Kluyveromyces lactis: one gene and its partners. The protein of the gene in region 1 interacts with the protein of each later gene in a biochemical or structural test. Links are inferred from orthologs where the notes say so. Each region holds a gene or a part of one and is shown on either strand. Other genes may lie near its edges.

Evidence for each region.
Region 2: the proteins of SNF1 (region 1) and SCP160 form a complex in vitro, tested with the Saccharomyces cerevisiae proteins (2 studies listed by BioGRID, with this or other methods). The link is inferred for Kluyveromyces lactis from reciprocal best matches to the Saccharomyces cerevisiae genes SNF1 and SCP160.
Region 3: of the proteins of SNF1 (region 1) and PIB2, one has a biochemical effect on the other in vitro, tested with the Saccharomyces cerevisiae proteins (2 studies listed by BioGRID). The link is inferred for Kluyveromyces lactis from reciprocal best matches to the Saccharomyces cerevisiae genes SNF1 and PIB2.

What each region holds. Positions count from the first base shown.
Region 1 is NC_006037.1:337,157-342,431, reverse strand, and holds SNF1 (AMP-activated serine/threonine-protein kinase catalytic subunit SNF1), read left to right. Parts: upstream 1-1,816; coding exon 1,817-3,625; downstream 3,626-5,275. Other genes in the region: divalent metal ion transporter SMF1, read left to right, coding at 5,145-5,275. UniProt on the Saccharomyces cerevisiae protein: Serine/threonine protein kinase essential for release from glucose repression.
Region 2 is NC_006040.1:202,114-207,840, forward strand, and holds SCP160 (Scp160p), read right to left. Parts: upstream 3,951-5,727; coding exon 333-3,950; downstream 1-332. Other genes in the region: Rab family GTPase YPT52, read left to right, coding at 1-22; KLLA0_D02420g (CAP domain-containing protein), read right to left, coding at 4,431-5,069; KLLA0_D02442g (CAP domain-containing protein), read right to left, coding at 5,500-5,727. UniProt on the Saccharomyces cerevisiae protein: Involved in the control of mitotic chromosome transmission. Required during cell division for faithful partitioning of the ER-nuclear envelope membranes which, in S.cerevisiae, enclose the duplicated chromosomes.
Region 3 is NC_006039.1:1,483,345-1,488,930, forward strand, and holds PIB2 (Pib2p), read right to left. Parts: upstream 3,625-5,586; coding exon 1,651-3,624; downstream 1-1,650. Other genes in the region: ORC4 (origin recognition complex subunit 4), read right to left, coding at 1-306; cystathionine beta-lyase STR3, read right to left, coding at 4,462-5,586. UniProt on the Saccharomyces cerevisiae protein: Functions as an intracellular glutamine sensor that directly activates the TORC1 signaling pathway, to promote cell growth when glutamine is available. May play a role in repressing NPR1 activity independently of TORC1 signaling.

The DNA of each region.
Region 1 (5,275 bases):
TCGAGGATTGATAAACTAGCATCTTATACAAAGAGTAACGTTTACATCAGAAATAAGATCCGCTCTTATATTCCTTGCACGATTCCCAAACACAATATCACAAGGTTCCTTTCTCGTTACCGTCAACTTGAAGTTTTCCTTAAAGTCTCTAAAGGTGCTAAAGAGTTTTTCTTTGATAACCGTTTCAAACCTGAATTCCAGCTAATTCCAGATGACTGCTCTGTATTTTGTTATCAAGAGGAGGAATTGGAGTATATTCTTTTCTTTGTGAGGATAGCACGCATTTTTCAAGAAGTTACCATGCTCCTTCAAGATGATACCACAAATTCATTATGCAATGGAATTAAATATTACATGACTATCCGCCAATATTACAAGTCTTGCGAAGAGTTAAAAAACGGTTCGGATGATATTTTGCATGTAGCCAATGTTGGGATTAAGAAAACTCATTTACCATCAAATACTATAAAGGAACAAGTTTTCTCTGCGGTCATGGCCTCGTACCCCAAATTTGAAAAATACATGGACTTTGCGTTCAAAGAACCAGGATATTGGGTGGCACATATCTCACAACCTCACCGTAAGACTGACCTATTGAACAGGTCCTTTGAGCAATCGTTCAAAGAGGATGTCATTGAATCAGCAACAAGTTATGTTGTCAGTTACTGCAAACGATTTACTGAAACTTCCGATATTCGCTCGCACAATAAACCAACTGAACCATTGAATATCAATCGTGTTAAGAAGCCAAAATTATTAAAAAACCTATCTGCATATCTGGATAGAAACATTTCAGAATTCCATTTTGCGCCTAAGGATGAGTGGCAGATATACTTGGGGGAACCATTGGAGAAAGAGAAGGATTTTTTGAGCTATTGGCTTGAAAACCAATCAAGATTTCCTGCATTGTGCAGTCTGGCTCTTGCCTTTTACCACACTAAGCTCTCAACTGCTGACGTCGAAAGGAGCTTCTCAATCAGTAAGCGTGTTTTAGATGATAGATTTTCTCTTGCTAGTTCCAATTTAAAAAGCACAATGATAGTAAGGAATCGCTTGATGTGTTTCAATTTGGGCTCAAAGATGCCTGTGACTGAACATATTGCAACGGACTCTTGGACGGATGACGAGGACGATATGGAGCATTCAAATTTTAGCCAACAATCATTCTACGATCCTGCCGCAGTCATCGATATTTACTCCAGTGACAGTAGTGATTGAAACTAATACATAGATAGCAGAATTTTGGAATCACCAGTTTATAATGAGGAAAATACGATATTAACGTTATTCCTAATTATAAAAGAGTAATTGGGGAAGATTAAAGATGTAATATATACATCTTGGTTCGTATATAATAGCCACTTATCGAGTGGTGATGTACTTTAATGTAGTGTCATAGCATATTGACGTAGTGAAGAATGGATTCGTGAATTGTCTGAATCCTCTCGTAAAACGTGACAGGATTGGTGACTGAAAATGGTCAATTCGCCGGACTCGTCCCAGTACGGTCTCCTACATAAGGTATCAGTCATCATCAACGATTTCTACGCCGTTTACATTTTGATGATAAAATTGAAAACTTGTCATATACGGAACATCAACAATAAAAGAAGGATCAATGCGTAATTGTAGGGCGGATAGAATTGGGTTTTGTGAGACTCCAGAAACGTCACACTAGTATAAGAATTGCAAGTTTTCTAACAAGTTAGTCAACTTCTCAATTAGAAGCAACTATTCTCAGAGTAAACAAGATATCCCTCTGTTGAACGCAAACTCTTAGTGAAGCATTTACGAGTACATACTCATCAGAGAAGATATGTCGCACGACCCAAATCAACAACAGCCGCATGGTGGCTCAGGTCAAGGCCATCACCAACGCCAGCTGACTAACCACGCACAAGGCCAACATATCGGTAAGTATCAAATCATCAAGACCTTGGGTGAAGGATCATTTGGTAAAGTGAAACTGGCGTACCATATCTCTACGGGACAAAAAGTGGCATTAAAAATCATCAATAAGAAGGTTCTAGCCAAGAGTGATATGCAAGGTAGAATCGAGAGAGAGATTTCGTACTTACGTTTGTTGAGACATCCACACATTATCAAATTGTATGACGTGATCAAATCGAAGGACGAAATTATCATGGTGATTGAGTATGCTGGTAATGAATTATTTGATTATATTGTCCAAAGAGACAAGATGCCTGAACAAGAAGCAAGAAGATTTTTCCAACAGATTATTAGCGCAGTAGATTATTGTCACCGTCATAAAATTGTGCATAGAGATTTGAAACCAGAGAATTTACTATTAGACGAACATTTGAACGTTAAGATTGCTGATTTTGGTTTATCTAATATAATGACAGATGGTAACTTTTTGAAGACTTCATGTGGTTCTCCAAATTATGCGGCCCCAGAAGTCATCAGCGGTAAACTATATGCAGGTCCAGAGGTTGACGTTTGGTCTTCAGGGGTTATCTTATACGTCATGTTGTGTCGTAGGTTACCATTCGATGACGAAAGTATCCCAGTGTTGTTTAAGAACATTAGCAATGGTGTTTACACCATACCTAACTTCCTTTCCCAAGGTGCTGCGAGCTTAATCAAAAAGATGCTCATCGTCAATCCAGTTAATAGAATTACCGTGCATGAAATCATGCAGGATGAATGGTTCAAAGTTGATTTACCCGACTACCTAGTTCCTGCTGAAAGCACCCATCAAGAAAACTCTGAAAGCAAAACAGAAGATGGCGGCCCATCCGTGCCACTCGAACTGATCGATGATTCGTTAGTTCAAACGCTATCAAACACTATGGGTTATGACGTAGATGAGATATATGAGGCTTTAGAGTCCGATGAAGATCATCCATCTTTAAATGAAATCAGGGATGCCTATCAGTTAATTAAAGAGAACAGAAATTTAATCAACGACATCAAGGTGAACAAGCAACAATCTAATGACTTGGATACTTTCTTATCGCAATCTCCACCCACTTTCGAACAATCCTTGCATGCCCCCCCGGGCTCAAAAAATCGACACTCACACCGCCATTCAAAGAGAACACAGCAACGTACATATCAATATCATTATGGAAATGGTTCTCAGGATGGAGACAGCACGATTGCAATTTTACCTAGCTCGTTACCACAGATCCATAGAGCCAACATGGTAGCACAAGGGTCCCAGGCTGCTGCTAAGATTTCACCATTAAGCGTGAAAAAATCAAAAACAAGGTGGCATTTCGGTATACGATCAAGATCCTATCCATTAGACGTTATGGGAGAAATATACATTGCATTGAAAAACTTGGGAGCCGAATGGGCGAAACCATCAGAAGAGGACCTATGGACTATTAGAGTCCGTTGGAGATATAATATCGATATGCCTGATGACGAAATGAAGAACAAGCAGATTCCAGATTTAATGAAGATGGTAATCCAATTGTTCCAAATTGAGACAAATAACTACTTAGTGGATTTCAAATTTGATGGCTGGGAGTCCAGTAACGGTGTAGTGTATTCAAGTCGGAACGACGATGAAATGAGTACGTTCAGTGCATACCCCTTTCTACATTTAGCAACCAGGCTGATTATGGAACTTGCAGTGAATAGCCAAGGAAGTTGATTTTAAGGTTCATGAAATTAAAAAAATACTAACGGATAATATCCAACGAAGAGTGTATATAAGTTTGAATATTTGCTTAAAGTTTAAGCCTTATATACATATCATTAAATAATGACAATCACTATATTATATGAGAAATTACTCTTAGCTCACAACACTCGCCGGGAAGAAGAGGAAAACAACATACATGTTTTTGACACATGAAAAAAGAATGCATCGGCCGGGAATCGAACCCGGGGCCCAACGATGGCAACGTTGGATTTTACCACTAAACCACCGATGCTACTTTGTTGTAGTTTTCGTAAGATAGACTGAAGACAGGCCAGACGAAGGGTCATGTGAGCTAGCCAGCACACGGCAGAGTTCCAAGACGTCAGTGACTGGGCATATGGATCCTGTGGTATCCAGAAGGGAAGGCCTAGATGGATCAAAGAGGGTCACGTGACAATATTTAGTGAAATTGGAATAGGCAGAAGCTGCGCATGACGAGTGGCTCATGAGACTATCAGTTACCATGAAAAAGTCCGACGGACAACTGAGTATGAGTTGAGTATTAGGGCTGAGTTAAGTTGCAACCTTTTGAGAGGTTGGATGCAACAAGAAGGAGCAAGACGCATATGCTCAAGGATCTAACTATGTATATTCTTATATCAAATTCAGTACTTGTTTGGTCTCTACGATTCCACAAGAGGTGAGCAATCAATCAGCTATCATCCACGGCACATCACAACATGAGACTATTATACTGTTAAGTATAGTCGGGTCTATCATAATAGTAATATTTGCTATACTAGTGGGCAAAAAAATGGTTCCTAGCGGGATCGAACCGCTGATCCCCGCGTTATTAGCACGGTGCCTTAACCAACTGGGCCAAGGAACCAACTTGGATGTTGAGGAGGAAGATTGTGTTGCCTAAATGTTGAGACGGAACATAAACTATGATCGGGTAACTACCGATGCAATTGGCGGTTAAGTAGCTATACGGTACGTATTAATTGAAGTATCGTTAACTGACCTGAGTTATTATATGAGGAGGCATCAGGTCTGACAAATGACAATCAGCTCAACCGGGCCAGATCTTCAGATGAGCCATATTTCTTAGTACTATATATAGTAGTGTATATTGACCCACCTGATACTGAAGATCTAGAATCGATTTCATGTGACAGGAATAACCCGAAATATCGATAATAACCAACTAAGTGTGTTCAACCGTAGTCCGATGAAACGAGCATTTTTCTAGGGAACTTTTTTCGTGCGAGGTATATATATGCATACCTTTGATGAAATAGGGCAAATGTAACGTTAAGGTATAAGGACTATTCATCAGGTCATTTTTATTGTTTTCAATCCTACAACGGGAGTTTCCAGTGCCAGTATAACAAGCTGCTTATCAGTGTTTGGATATATCGAAGGAGGTTTCATCGTTGTAGGGAAGTTCAAACGAAATCAACGGGTCGATTGAGAATAGTGCCAAGATTTGGGAATAAGATTCAGTTGTCTCAATTGAAAGAATATCATGCCGGAAAATAAGTTTGAAGTGACCGAGGAGTACTTGGATCCTCAAAGTATGCTTGAGCTGTCCATGCCCGGTGGTGCCTCCAAACTCTCTGTTCGTCAAAAGTTGATATTGAAATGCAGAAGGGCCAT
Region 2 (5,727 bases), on another chromosome or scaffold:
TTCACAGTCTTGTTGCTCATGAAGACGGCTTTATTCGTATGCCTGCATATAGATCTTCAGGCCACAATAAATATATATATACGTTTACGTATAACCATGAAACACACGCTAGCCCGTATAAATCTTTAACATTGAGGAACAACCGAGGATTTTGAAGAAATAGTTTTGTTTACATTTTTTGATATAGGTTTTAAGTGTATTCAGTATACATGATTAATTATGTGGTATTAATGTAAGCTTATGTAGTGCTAATCTGTGCAGCGTTGAACACCAATAGAGGAAATAAATACAAGAATTGGATCAAAGGAACGGACAAAGTGAAAACATTAAAACTATTTTAATCTCTTGCAGATCAATTCAGCTGCCTTTTTCACACCTTCTTCAGAGCCTAGGACATATATAACATTGTTAACCTTATCGCTTTTTCTTGGAACATGGATAACAGTTTTAGTGGCATTTCTGATTTCTCTGATATTTCTACCGTTTGGTCCAACAATAGAGTTAAACTTCTTTGCATCCTTGGACCAAACGAAACCTTCGGTGTTAACAAGTTTAGCCTCGGCGATTCTGTCTTCTATCAATTTGGACGCTTTTTCTAAGACTTGATCTTTGCTTTCTTCATCTTTCTTATAGTCTTCACCTAAAACATCACTCAAGTCAATTGGTGAGTATGTTAATCTCCATGGGATTGTGTCAACCTTAGCTTCAGTTTCTGTGACAGATTGAATGAGGACGTTGGAGCTTTCATTTTCACCACCAGCGACATTTTCAGGAACCTTGTAGTTCGCACGAGATAAACTTTGTGCGGTTCTAGTCAAGTTACCATGAGAAACATCAATAGAAAATTCGTTTCTTAACGTTTGGAAAATCAAACCAGAGTTAGAAACGTATGAATGGTATTTGGCAGGGACAGCAATTTCCAAGTCGAAACTATCCCTGATGATTTCTTTTTCGATTTTCTTCTTGCAAGATTCAATATTAGCAGGAGAACCAGAAACAGTGACCTTTTCATCTGAGCTGTTCTTGTTTGGAACATGAATTCTTACTTTGAATTCTGTCTCCAATTCACGTCTTACTGATCCAGCTGGACCAATCAAGGCACCAAACTTCTCTTGTGGAATATTTAGCTCCTCGGTAATGCTGTTTTCTAAGCCAGAAACAACTCCCTTAATTTGTTTGACAACCTTCTTCACAAAGTCAGATGGTCCGAAGATAGTGATAACCTTGTCTTCAGAAGAGGCATCAGGGATATTGACTCTCTTGTTTCTAATCTCATCACCACCAGCTTTGCTGATAATTTCTTTCAATTGGGAGCCACTACGACCGATGATATCGCTATAATACTTAGAGTCGATATCTTCCAGAGTAACTGTCTCAAAATTTGATGCTTGATCAATGATAGATTTGACTTTGTTTGCAGCTTCTTTGATGCTAGATCTAGAACCAGTGATTTCCAACTCGACTTCACCAGCTTCCTTAGCCTTTTCACTGTCGGTTTTGTCCAAAAAGTTTAACTCAACACCATACTCTGCCTTAATATCGTTGATAGTTTCACCACTTTTACCTATGACTCTAGTAACATAGTCGACTGGAACTTTGAGAAGCTCTTTATGGCCATTTTCAATTTCGAAGTCCAAAAGAGCCTTCAGTTCATCATAAGCGGCTTTGACACCACGAGATGGACCTCTGATGGTGACTAACTCACTGTCCTTAGGAAATCTGATGAAAACGGAGTACTTGTTCTCCAAACGGATACGATAAGTGCCTTGAGGTCCACTTAATGTACGGTGGTACTTCATAGGGACGATTAATTCCTTAGTGATAATATCGGACCATTTTTTAGCTTCTGCTAGAATATATGTTTTCGCTTGGTCAAGATTGTATTGCAAACCGGTCAATGTAACATCGGTATTCTCATCCTTAGAATCTTGTGGGATGAAAGTTTGAACGTCAAACTTTTCACGAATTTGTTGTAAGTTAGCACCCTTTGGACCAATCAATCTCGAAACTACATTGGTTGGAACTTGGAATGTGATCTTGGATTCTGTTGATGAATTCTCGACGATGGACTTGACAGCAGCGGAAGCAATCTTACATCCATGGTCATCACCTCTGATAGTAATTTGGTTGACTGAAGGGGTGCTCAACTTGATTAAAGCATGAGCGCCAGCATGAGAAACAGCTTCATTGATCAAGTTCAAAGTGACTTTTGATTCTCCGAGTAGTTCATCCTGTTCTTTTTTGGCAAGGGAAACAACATTGGATGCTAAAAGGCTTTGCTTCTTTCTGATTGGTTCCAATTGTTGGTTGACCGATTCCAGCTTAACTTTTAGTTCATCATCAGATGGCTTGAAATCATCTTCATTGATCTTGGTGATTAGTAAGATATCGTCATTACCTGGGAAACAGTCACCCAATTGAATGAATGGGACATCACTTTCAGTCGAGACCAAGATTTGCTTGATGTCCTTGTGGAATAGATGATAATCCAAATCTGAAATAGTTAACGTTTGTTCTGGAGATAATTCATTAACCAAAGCTACAATTTGTTTACGAACGGTCTTGATAGCGTCTGCGGCATCGTTGTTTGAAATTAAGGTAATACTGACGGATTCCAATGCTGGAATACTTTCCACTTTAGGTAAAACTACTTGCACTTGTGGGAAGTCTTCGGTAATTTGATCTAAGACGTTATATTTTTGGAAGTATAGAATCAAGTTCTTAGCATGTTTAACGTTTTTACCATGAGCTTTTGAAATTTCCAATGATTCCACGGTATGGAATTTAGATGAGTTCTTAGCGTACACGATGGCCTCATTGACGTTGTCAGAGCTTCCGATGAAAACGAATTGATCATCGCCGGAAATACTTGGAGCTTGTACTTCGACGTGGAACTTCTCATTCAATTCTGAAGGCTTTACCAAAGGATGGAATTTGAATGGGACCTTTTCCTTTTTCACCACGATCTTTAGACCCAATTCGTTCAAATAGTTGATCACCTTAACCTTGGCCAATTTAACATTATCACGAGGACCATTTAATGCGATTTCAGCGGGGTCATTGTTTGTAAACAGCTGCGCCTTTACATCAGCTGGAATTTCAACTGATTCTAGATCGATGAAGGGAACCAACTTGGAGTCCTCGACAGGAAGAACAATCTTGGCGTTTTTAGTTTCCTCCTTCACGACGTCCAAGATCTTACTCTTTGCAACGAGAACAGATTCAGCATCGCCGTGTAAAGAGATGGTTACTGAATAGTCTTCCAAATCTGAATCGTAGGTACCCTCATCAACCTCCTTCGGAACCACGATTTTTACACCAGCAGCATCTGAGATTGCTCTGATGGTCTTACCACCAGATCCGATAATGGCAGATCTAGTTTTTGAAGGAACTTCAAAAGTCACATTGACAGGTTTAGTCAACTTCTTGACCAACTCTCTCTTAGCAAGACCAATCTTGTCAGAAGAACCAGAGATCAAGAAAGTACGCGAAGTCTTTGATAGTGTGGATTCCACAGAGACATCGTACTTTTGTTTAACAGACTGAACGATGCTGGAGAATTCGGTCTTTGTGATTTGGTATTGTGCATCTAAGTCTAGCGAGAACACTTCCTGAATGTTTCTCGAACGCAATGGCTTAGCAGAACCAGGTGAAGAAGCACGTCCGTTTTTGCCATGGGAAAGAGAAGAGACACTGTTAACGGAGCTACCTGATTTCAGAGTAGACCCCCAGGAGACAGCATTGCCAGAAGCAGACGCAGCAGCATTTCCTCCCAATCTTGGAAATAAAACCTTGACCGCTGGCGCAGTGGCAGCTTCTTCACCATTAGACTTTTCAGTTTGTTCAATTGTTTGGCCAGCTAATTTCGACGAATCATCAGCAGAAGAAGGTGGCGTATCTACCACGATTTGAGAATAATCTTCAGCAACATCAGGAGTGATTTCAGACATTATTGAAAATAAAGGAAGGTCCGGTTATAACAAAGCAGTAAATCAAAAACTAAAAAATCAGTAACAAACAAACAAATACCCTTAACTAATATTCAATATAGTGAGTGATTGAGTATTAAGCACAGGAAATAAAAGAGAAAAAGCAAACACACACGACTATGATACAGAAAAACGGTTGAGTATATTCTATAGTACACCAATTGATCCCACAATTCACTTATTCGGCTAATCTAGGTGGCTTGAAACCGGTATCTATGATTCAAAGTTTAACTATTTTTATATTTTAAACCTTCTTTTCTCTAACTGAATTTCACTTCTTATTTCTTCATATTGTCGAAGCTTCGAAAAGAACAACGATCCAAATCGTGTGAAAGCCCGTGAAAAGAAAGGAGAAGTGTTGGTTACCCTGAGTTCGTGATTTGCAAGGGAAAGAATCAACCAACGCTTATCAAGTCTTCTGTCATCGGACAGTTTTCTATTTTACTTCTCGGGTAAGACATTTTCACTGAACTTTCCGATTACATTCCCCGGTGGGTCGTATTCGCATACTGTATATTGACCGTAATACTGGCCACATCGTATAAATGCACAGCCAAGTTTCGAGGTATTTTTCCATACCAGCTGGGTGAAATGTCCTGTATTTGCTGCGAACTGTGGGTTGTTAAAATCGTACAGTTTTACCTCGTTATACCATGCTAGAACAGCTGAGGTAGTATTATATCCTAGAGCAAGGTTCTCTCCGTAAGGCAGCTTTGAGTGTTCTAATTGCCCGTTGCATACGTAAGAATTGGCGAAATTTTGTGCTCTAGATGCAAGTTCTGGAGCCCAAACTAGCGATGAAACCTGATGTTTCTTGCGTAATGAGTTGTGCACGTCCAGGATTTCCGTTTTGAAATCCGGGTCCGTGGCCGTTGGTTTTGTGGACACTTGTTCCGTGAAGGTGCCGGAGGCTGTTCTGTAAACAATTGTTCTTGAAGTTGTGAAATGTGTTGTCGTTGAGACGGTTTTCGTTCTTATTATTCGAACAGTGTTGTATTTTGTCACTGTTATACCCTGTGCATGACACAAGATTTTTGCGTGGATTAGTACCACCAATATGAGCCAGTAAACCTGATTCATTTGGCAGGTGTTGCTCTATTTCCGAAGTTTATCTATCTGAAAAATTATGCCTCAAGGGTTATAGATACTTAAGCCATTCGAAAACCAGAAACATTAATGGCCCTGTTTATAAGCTATCAAGTTGCAAGCTCTGCCGATAGCTCTGTGTTCCAGGATTGTATGGAATTTGCAAGAAAACTGATAGGGTATAAAAACGTATACATAAAACGACAAAAGGTATCTAAAAAATACGGACTGAATTCTAGAGTAAAATAAGATAGTGACGCCAGCAGACGACCGGGATAATCAAACGATAATCTACCATCTTCCTGTCTGAGAACTGAAAAACTGTTTCGTTGTCCTGAAATATAAAACTGGTATTTGTATTGTGGGTAAGAGCCATGACAAATGTTTGACATTTGTTTCAAAAATATCCGAAATGAGATTGGGTTTAAGCCAATGGCTCGACATTTGAGGCAAAAGTACCTAGCATGTTACCAGCTGGATCGTAGGAACAGATGATGTAGTCGCCCCATACACCACCACATTGCTTGATACCACAACCGACCTTGGTGGTGGATTTCCAAACAACTTGGGTGAAATGACCGGTGCTAGAGGAATAATCTGGATTGGAGAAACTGTAATCCTTGATTTCGCTGTACCAAGCATCGACAGCACC
Region 3 (5,586 bases), on another chromosome or scaffold:
AGTGCCATTTAGTTTTCTTGTCAAGTAGTGCTTCATTCTCTTAAATGTCTTTGTTTCTGGTGTCTTATTTATACCAAACAAAGGAATTGGTTGTGCTGCAGTATCTTCAGTACGTGTTTTTTTGGTAACAACTGCAGTATCAAGTTCAGAGTCGTTAGATGCACCAATAGAAGATCTTTTGACAGGGCGTTGTAATTTAATCTTCTTAATCTTCCCATCAAGCTTAACATCGTCTATGATCTCATCTGCGTTCACTTTGTGTACCGACTTTCTGATGGGGCCAAACTCGCTTTCAAGGTCATCCATTCGTACTAATAAATTGAATTGTGGATTAATACTAACTGTAATCGAATGAGATTAGTTTGACAGTGTTAGAACATGGACTTTGGTTTATGAATTATCTAAGGTACCGTTCTACTACTTTGGATGTATTCATTGTTGTTGATTTAGTTTTAAGGTTATTAAATGTTTAGTAAGGTTACCCGAAAATAATGAATTATTACTAGTCAGGTATAGTGAATTGGATGCACCATAGATAAGAACAACGGAACTTCTTCCAATACTTGATTCAAAACATTATCTTCCGAACTGGTAGCAACAGGACATAAAAGACGTGACTCATACGAATTAATCCCATTTAAACAATGTCTAAGTAATAATCATGTCAGAACACACACTCTTTGTTCGCAATGACTTTATCTTGTCTTTCTTTACATCTGTGGCACGAAATTGATAACAATATGACAAAAAAGAATAAACAAAGATAGGACCGACAGAAAAGGGAAAATCTTTGTTATTGGTAACTCTGACACCTTCTCATCCAAACTTACATTTTGTCTCGTTTGTCAACTACCCCCTTGTGTTTAATCAGGTATGGAAGGAGTGACGTTGACCACACATGAATTATGCAGACGCTGTGACTTTTAGTATAAGAGTTGTGAGATATTACTTCTTATTCGAGTATATATGTACGAATATATATATATATATATATTGAACTAGGTCAACTAGAACATTTAAATAAATTAATAATTAATACTACTATTATTATTACTCTTATCATTCTTATTCTTATTATGTTTGGGAGAGAAAAAGAATGGTTTTGTAAATGGTAACATGGTGATGAAATTTAGAGAAAACAAAAAAGGATCCATATGGTTTTAGACGCTTTACTCAGTTCCTTCGTTTGATTAACGTTAAGGATGGTATAATATAATGGTAGGGATAGATTTTCCACACTGGAACGGGACACGATATAATATAGTTTATGATCTGAGCGAAATAAATGAAATGAAAAAAAGAGACAACAAAAAAGGCAAACGGAACATGGAAAATATAAGGAGTCAAACGAGCGATGTTACAGATAGTGACAGTGATAATGGCAATAATAATAACGAATAATAATAGAAAAGAGAAAAATTTGGAAAATCTGAAAATACCGAAAACAATAAATAACCAGGGTGACGAGAAATCCCCCTTATATTGTGTCTGCAATGGAAAAAAATGGGTTTTAGGCTCTATCTTCCGTTAGGGAATAAACTGGATAAACGTAATAAAATGGGAAAAGCATAGGCGAAAATGGATCAGGAAGTGTAGTAATAAGGATAACGAGGTGATGAAAACCAAAAGATTTGATGCAACATTCGTAAATTAGAAACTGCTCCAAGACCAATCAGCAGGAACACTTCCTACAATATTTTCCAAGTGCTGCCGTTGGTTTACACTACCCTCAGTACCATTTAATGCTTCGTCTATATTTCTTCCTGTTGCGGGTTTTGGCAAATTGAGTAGTGTGTTAGAATGGTTTCCACTATTTTCATTTTCATTTTCACGAATCGAACCAGAATGTGATGAAGAAGTTGAGGAAGTAGAAGTAGAAGGTGGTTGCTGCTGCTGCTGTTGCAATTCTGCCTGATCTTTGGCGGGTCCAGCCTTAACCAGAGTGTCATATTCATCTAAGCAACTGTCACATATTTTAGATAGCACGCCTAACCCTCCACAACCAATGATAAACTTGGCGTTAGGGTTTAAGTATAGCCAGTGTCTGACATGTTGCTGGCAAAAGATATCACCGCAATGCCTGCAGTGATGTTTTCTTTCCCAGAACGTGAAAATTTTGTGACAGTATTTACAAGAATGACGTTTGGAATCTGGAATCCAGTGCTCTTTGGTGGGTTGAATCAATTGTAATTGCAGATCCCTTTCATTACACAGCCAGGATTGAATTTTGTTTCTATAAGTGCTCACAATGGATGATGTGGTAGAATGAATACTTCTGGCGTAATTTGAATTGGAAGTGTTCGAATGTTTAGACAGCACAGCTTGTAAAGTTGTTTGTGTTACATCAGATGGTGTAGGAGAATGTGACTTCAAATCTTCTATCTTTATGTTCGTCTCAGAAATGTCTCTCAACACTGCAGGAACATACATCGGTTTCTTCGGTTCGTTAATCTGCTGTAAGAGTCTCTTCGAGTTAGATGAGGCTGTACTATTGGAACAAATGCCCTTAGCTTCGTTGAAATTATGAGACGTTCCATGTAAAGTTACACCAGTTGGTTGCGAAATAATTTCCAAAGATTGCTTACGAGCTTCGTTTTGATCCCCTGATGCCTCCATTGCTACAGAGTTCTTACGAATGGTAGCAGTTGTATCCAAAATAACGTTTTTTCCACCAAACTTAAGTTGAGTCAGAGGTTCTTTTGGATCCACCAAATTTTCACTCGAGGTCAACGGCGTTGTCTGTACTGATTTACATACAGCACCCTTACTTTGCTGCAGCAACGAAAGTTTCCTCAACGCATCTGTTGTCAACTTGTTTTGCTTTGAAATATCATCTTCTTCAGACTCGGAGTCATGAGACGAATCTATTGGAGATGCGTCGCCACTGGATTCATTTTCAGAGTTACTATTAGTGTTGTTGGTAGTAGTATCTGAGGCAGCATCTTCGGAACCACGAGATGACCCTTTTCTCGTCTTAGAGTCTGGATTTGCCGTATTCAGGTTAGAATTCGAATTCGAGTTCGAATTCGCGGTCGAATTGGAACTAGTATTCGAAGACGATCTCTGTTTACATAAATCCCTAGCAGATTTCCGTTTATCATCGTTAAAAGGTAACTGTTGGCCAATTCTTGAACGTGACTCAGTCATTGGTAAATCCGACAGGAAAGTTTGCTTGTTCTTGCCCGCAACCCCGTTGCGTTTCTTGACCATCGTAGAAGCCATAGCTGGCGACTGTATCTGTTGAGTGGGATTGATAAACGTCGTTGCAATACTGCTGCTGTTATTATTACTATTATTATTATTATTACTGGTATTATGATTGTGCATCGTATTGGTACATTCCTCTTCATCACAGTTCTGCGATTGAGGCCCACCATGCTCTCTAGTGTTCAACATACTCCGGAGTGAGAACGAACTCAAAACACTCTGTACAGACATGGTTCTGGCCCTAGGAACGACTTTCTGCTTCTCAAAAGTGATAGTCGACTTCGCCGATTTCATCGATGCTATTGACGTCTCAGACCCATTTCTAGACCCATTTCCAACTTCTGCTTGATTTTTCAGTTTTCCAGTACACGCAGCTGGCACATCGACCTCACTGGTCTGAGAATGAACGCTGCTCATCTAGTAAAATTCAAACGACAAAAGAAAAAAAAAAACCCCTGGATGTTATCTTATACTTTATAACTCAGACAGACAATGGAATTACACTCTTCTCTTCACGATTCAAAACACAATCTTTGAAAAACCAAATAGAATACAATATAGTGTGAAAAGAATGAAGCAAATACCGTCTTTTCGTCCTCCTAAAATATAATGAATTAGAACAAAACTAGTAGAAACAGTAGTAATAAAAAAAGGCCTCCTTCCGTAAAAAAATTTTTGACCAAAAAATAAAAAAAAGACAACTGTATAACCGAATGTCAACAAGTTCTCCCCAGTGCTCCAGAAACCTGCTAATGGTTGTGTTATTGAAATTCCTTACGCTATCACAAGATCTTTACAGGATGATTAAAGAACTAGATAAATTATGGGAGTCAAGGAGAAGTGACTTTCTAAAAAGAAGGAAATTATATTTTTTTGTTTTTATCGAATCCAGTGTTCTGTTCTCTCTGTGAAAATTGATTTCCAAAAATTGAATAATCCGATGAAAATTCCGTATTACTTTTCCGAGCTTTCTCGCTGCTGCTTACTACCAAAGGGTCGCTGTGGCTACGCAGTCATCTGGGTAAATCATCACTTTTTCCCCCTTTGAGATTACGGGTCTTTCATTTTCTAAGGAGAGACAAAGGGCGGGTAACAGAGAAGGAAGACTAAGTCACGTGATCGCTGATTCCTTTTCTTTTCTACCTTATTTATTGGTTGGCAATGGAGATGAGTTTGAGATGAGATGAAATGAAATGGATCAGTTAGAAGATTTACGTATTGAATATTATAGAGTAGATTTGGTTGTTATCCGTTCTACAACTTTGCAGTGTGTAGATGAGATGTCTTTGATACGAGACGTTGACCGAAAAATTGGTCGTAAACGTTGTAGTTTTCTTGGTATGTTTCTCCGATATTGTTTCTTGCAATGTGTCCGTTCTTCTTGTTCAATAAATATGTATCGTTACCTCTCTGTTGCAATTCGATCAAGCCTGCTTCCTCGAATGCGGCAAGTAAGTCATATTGTAAATCTTTGACGTCTTCTATCCCACAACAGAGTCTGATCAAGTCTTCAGGGAACGCTCTTTGTTTCCGTAGTTCTGGATCGATGGAGGCATGTGACATCTTGCATGGCATGGAGATCAACGAGTTGACACATCCAAACGATACCGTGACGGCCCATATATTTAGTCTTTTAGAAGTTACAATGGCTTCGCTTAGTGCTAGGTCGCCAGTCTCAATGGATAGCACTGCACCGGGACCATTGTTGAAACTTTTATGCAATTCGAACTGAGGGTGAGATTCCAACCCAACAAACCTTGTCTTTAGTTGCTGGTTATTATCTGTAGGCTTGAATCCGCATATATCTTGTAGCCAGTGCGAGAGCACCATTGCGTTTATCTGTTGTTTGTAAAGACGAACAGATAAGGTCTTGAGACCACGGATCAAGAGCCATGAATCCATCGGAGATAGACCGGCACCGGTACTGTTAATGACGAAATATACGGATGGAGCCACGTCCTTCTTGGCTATTATTACACCAGCCATGATATCGTGGTGTCCATTGAGGTATTTCGTACCGGATTCGTATACTACATCTGCTCCGAATTGCAAAGGGTTGGAATTCAAACCTGACATCATGGTGTTATCAACGACGATTTTACAGTTGGAACTTGAACCACCTTTTTGTTTCACAAATTGGCACAGCCTTGGTAAATCGGCGACTTTCATCAACGGGTTGGTTGGAGATTCTAAAAGCACGATATCAACTTGCCCCAAAGAATTGTACAATTTGATGAACGACTCGGCATCCGTAGTATCTGTGTGAATCACTTTAGCATGGTTTCTCGTCTGTAGGAACGTTAATAAACGTTGAGTACCACCGTATAAATCATCACCAGCGATTATCGTTGGGATGTGATCTGAATTATCTATCAAAGT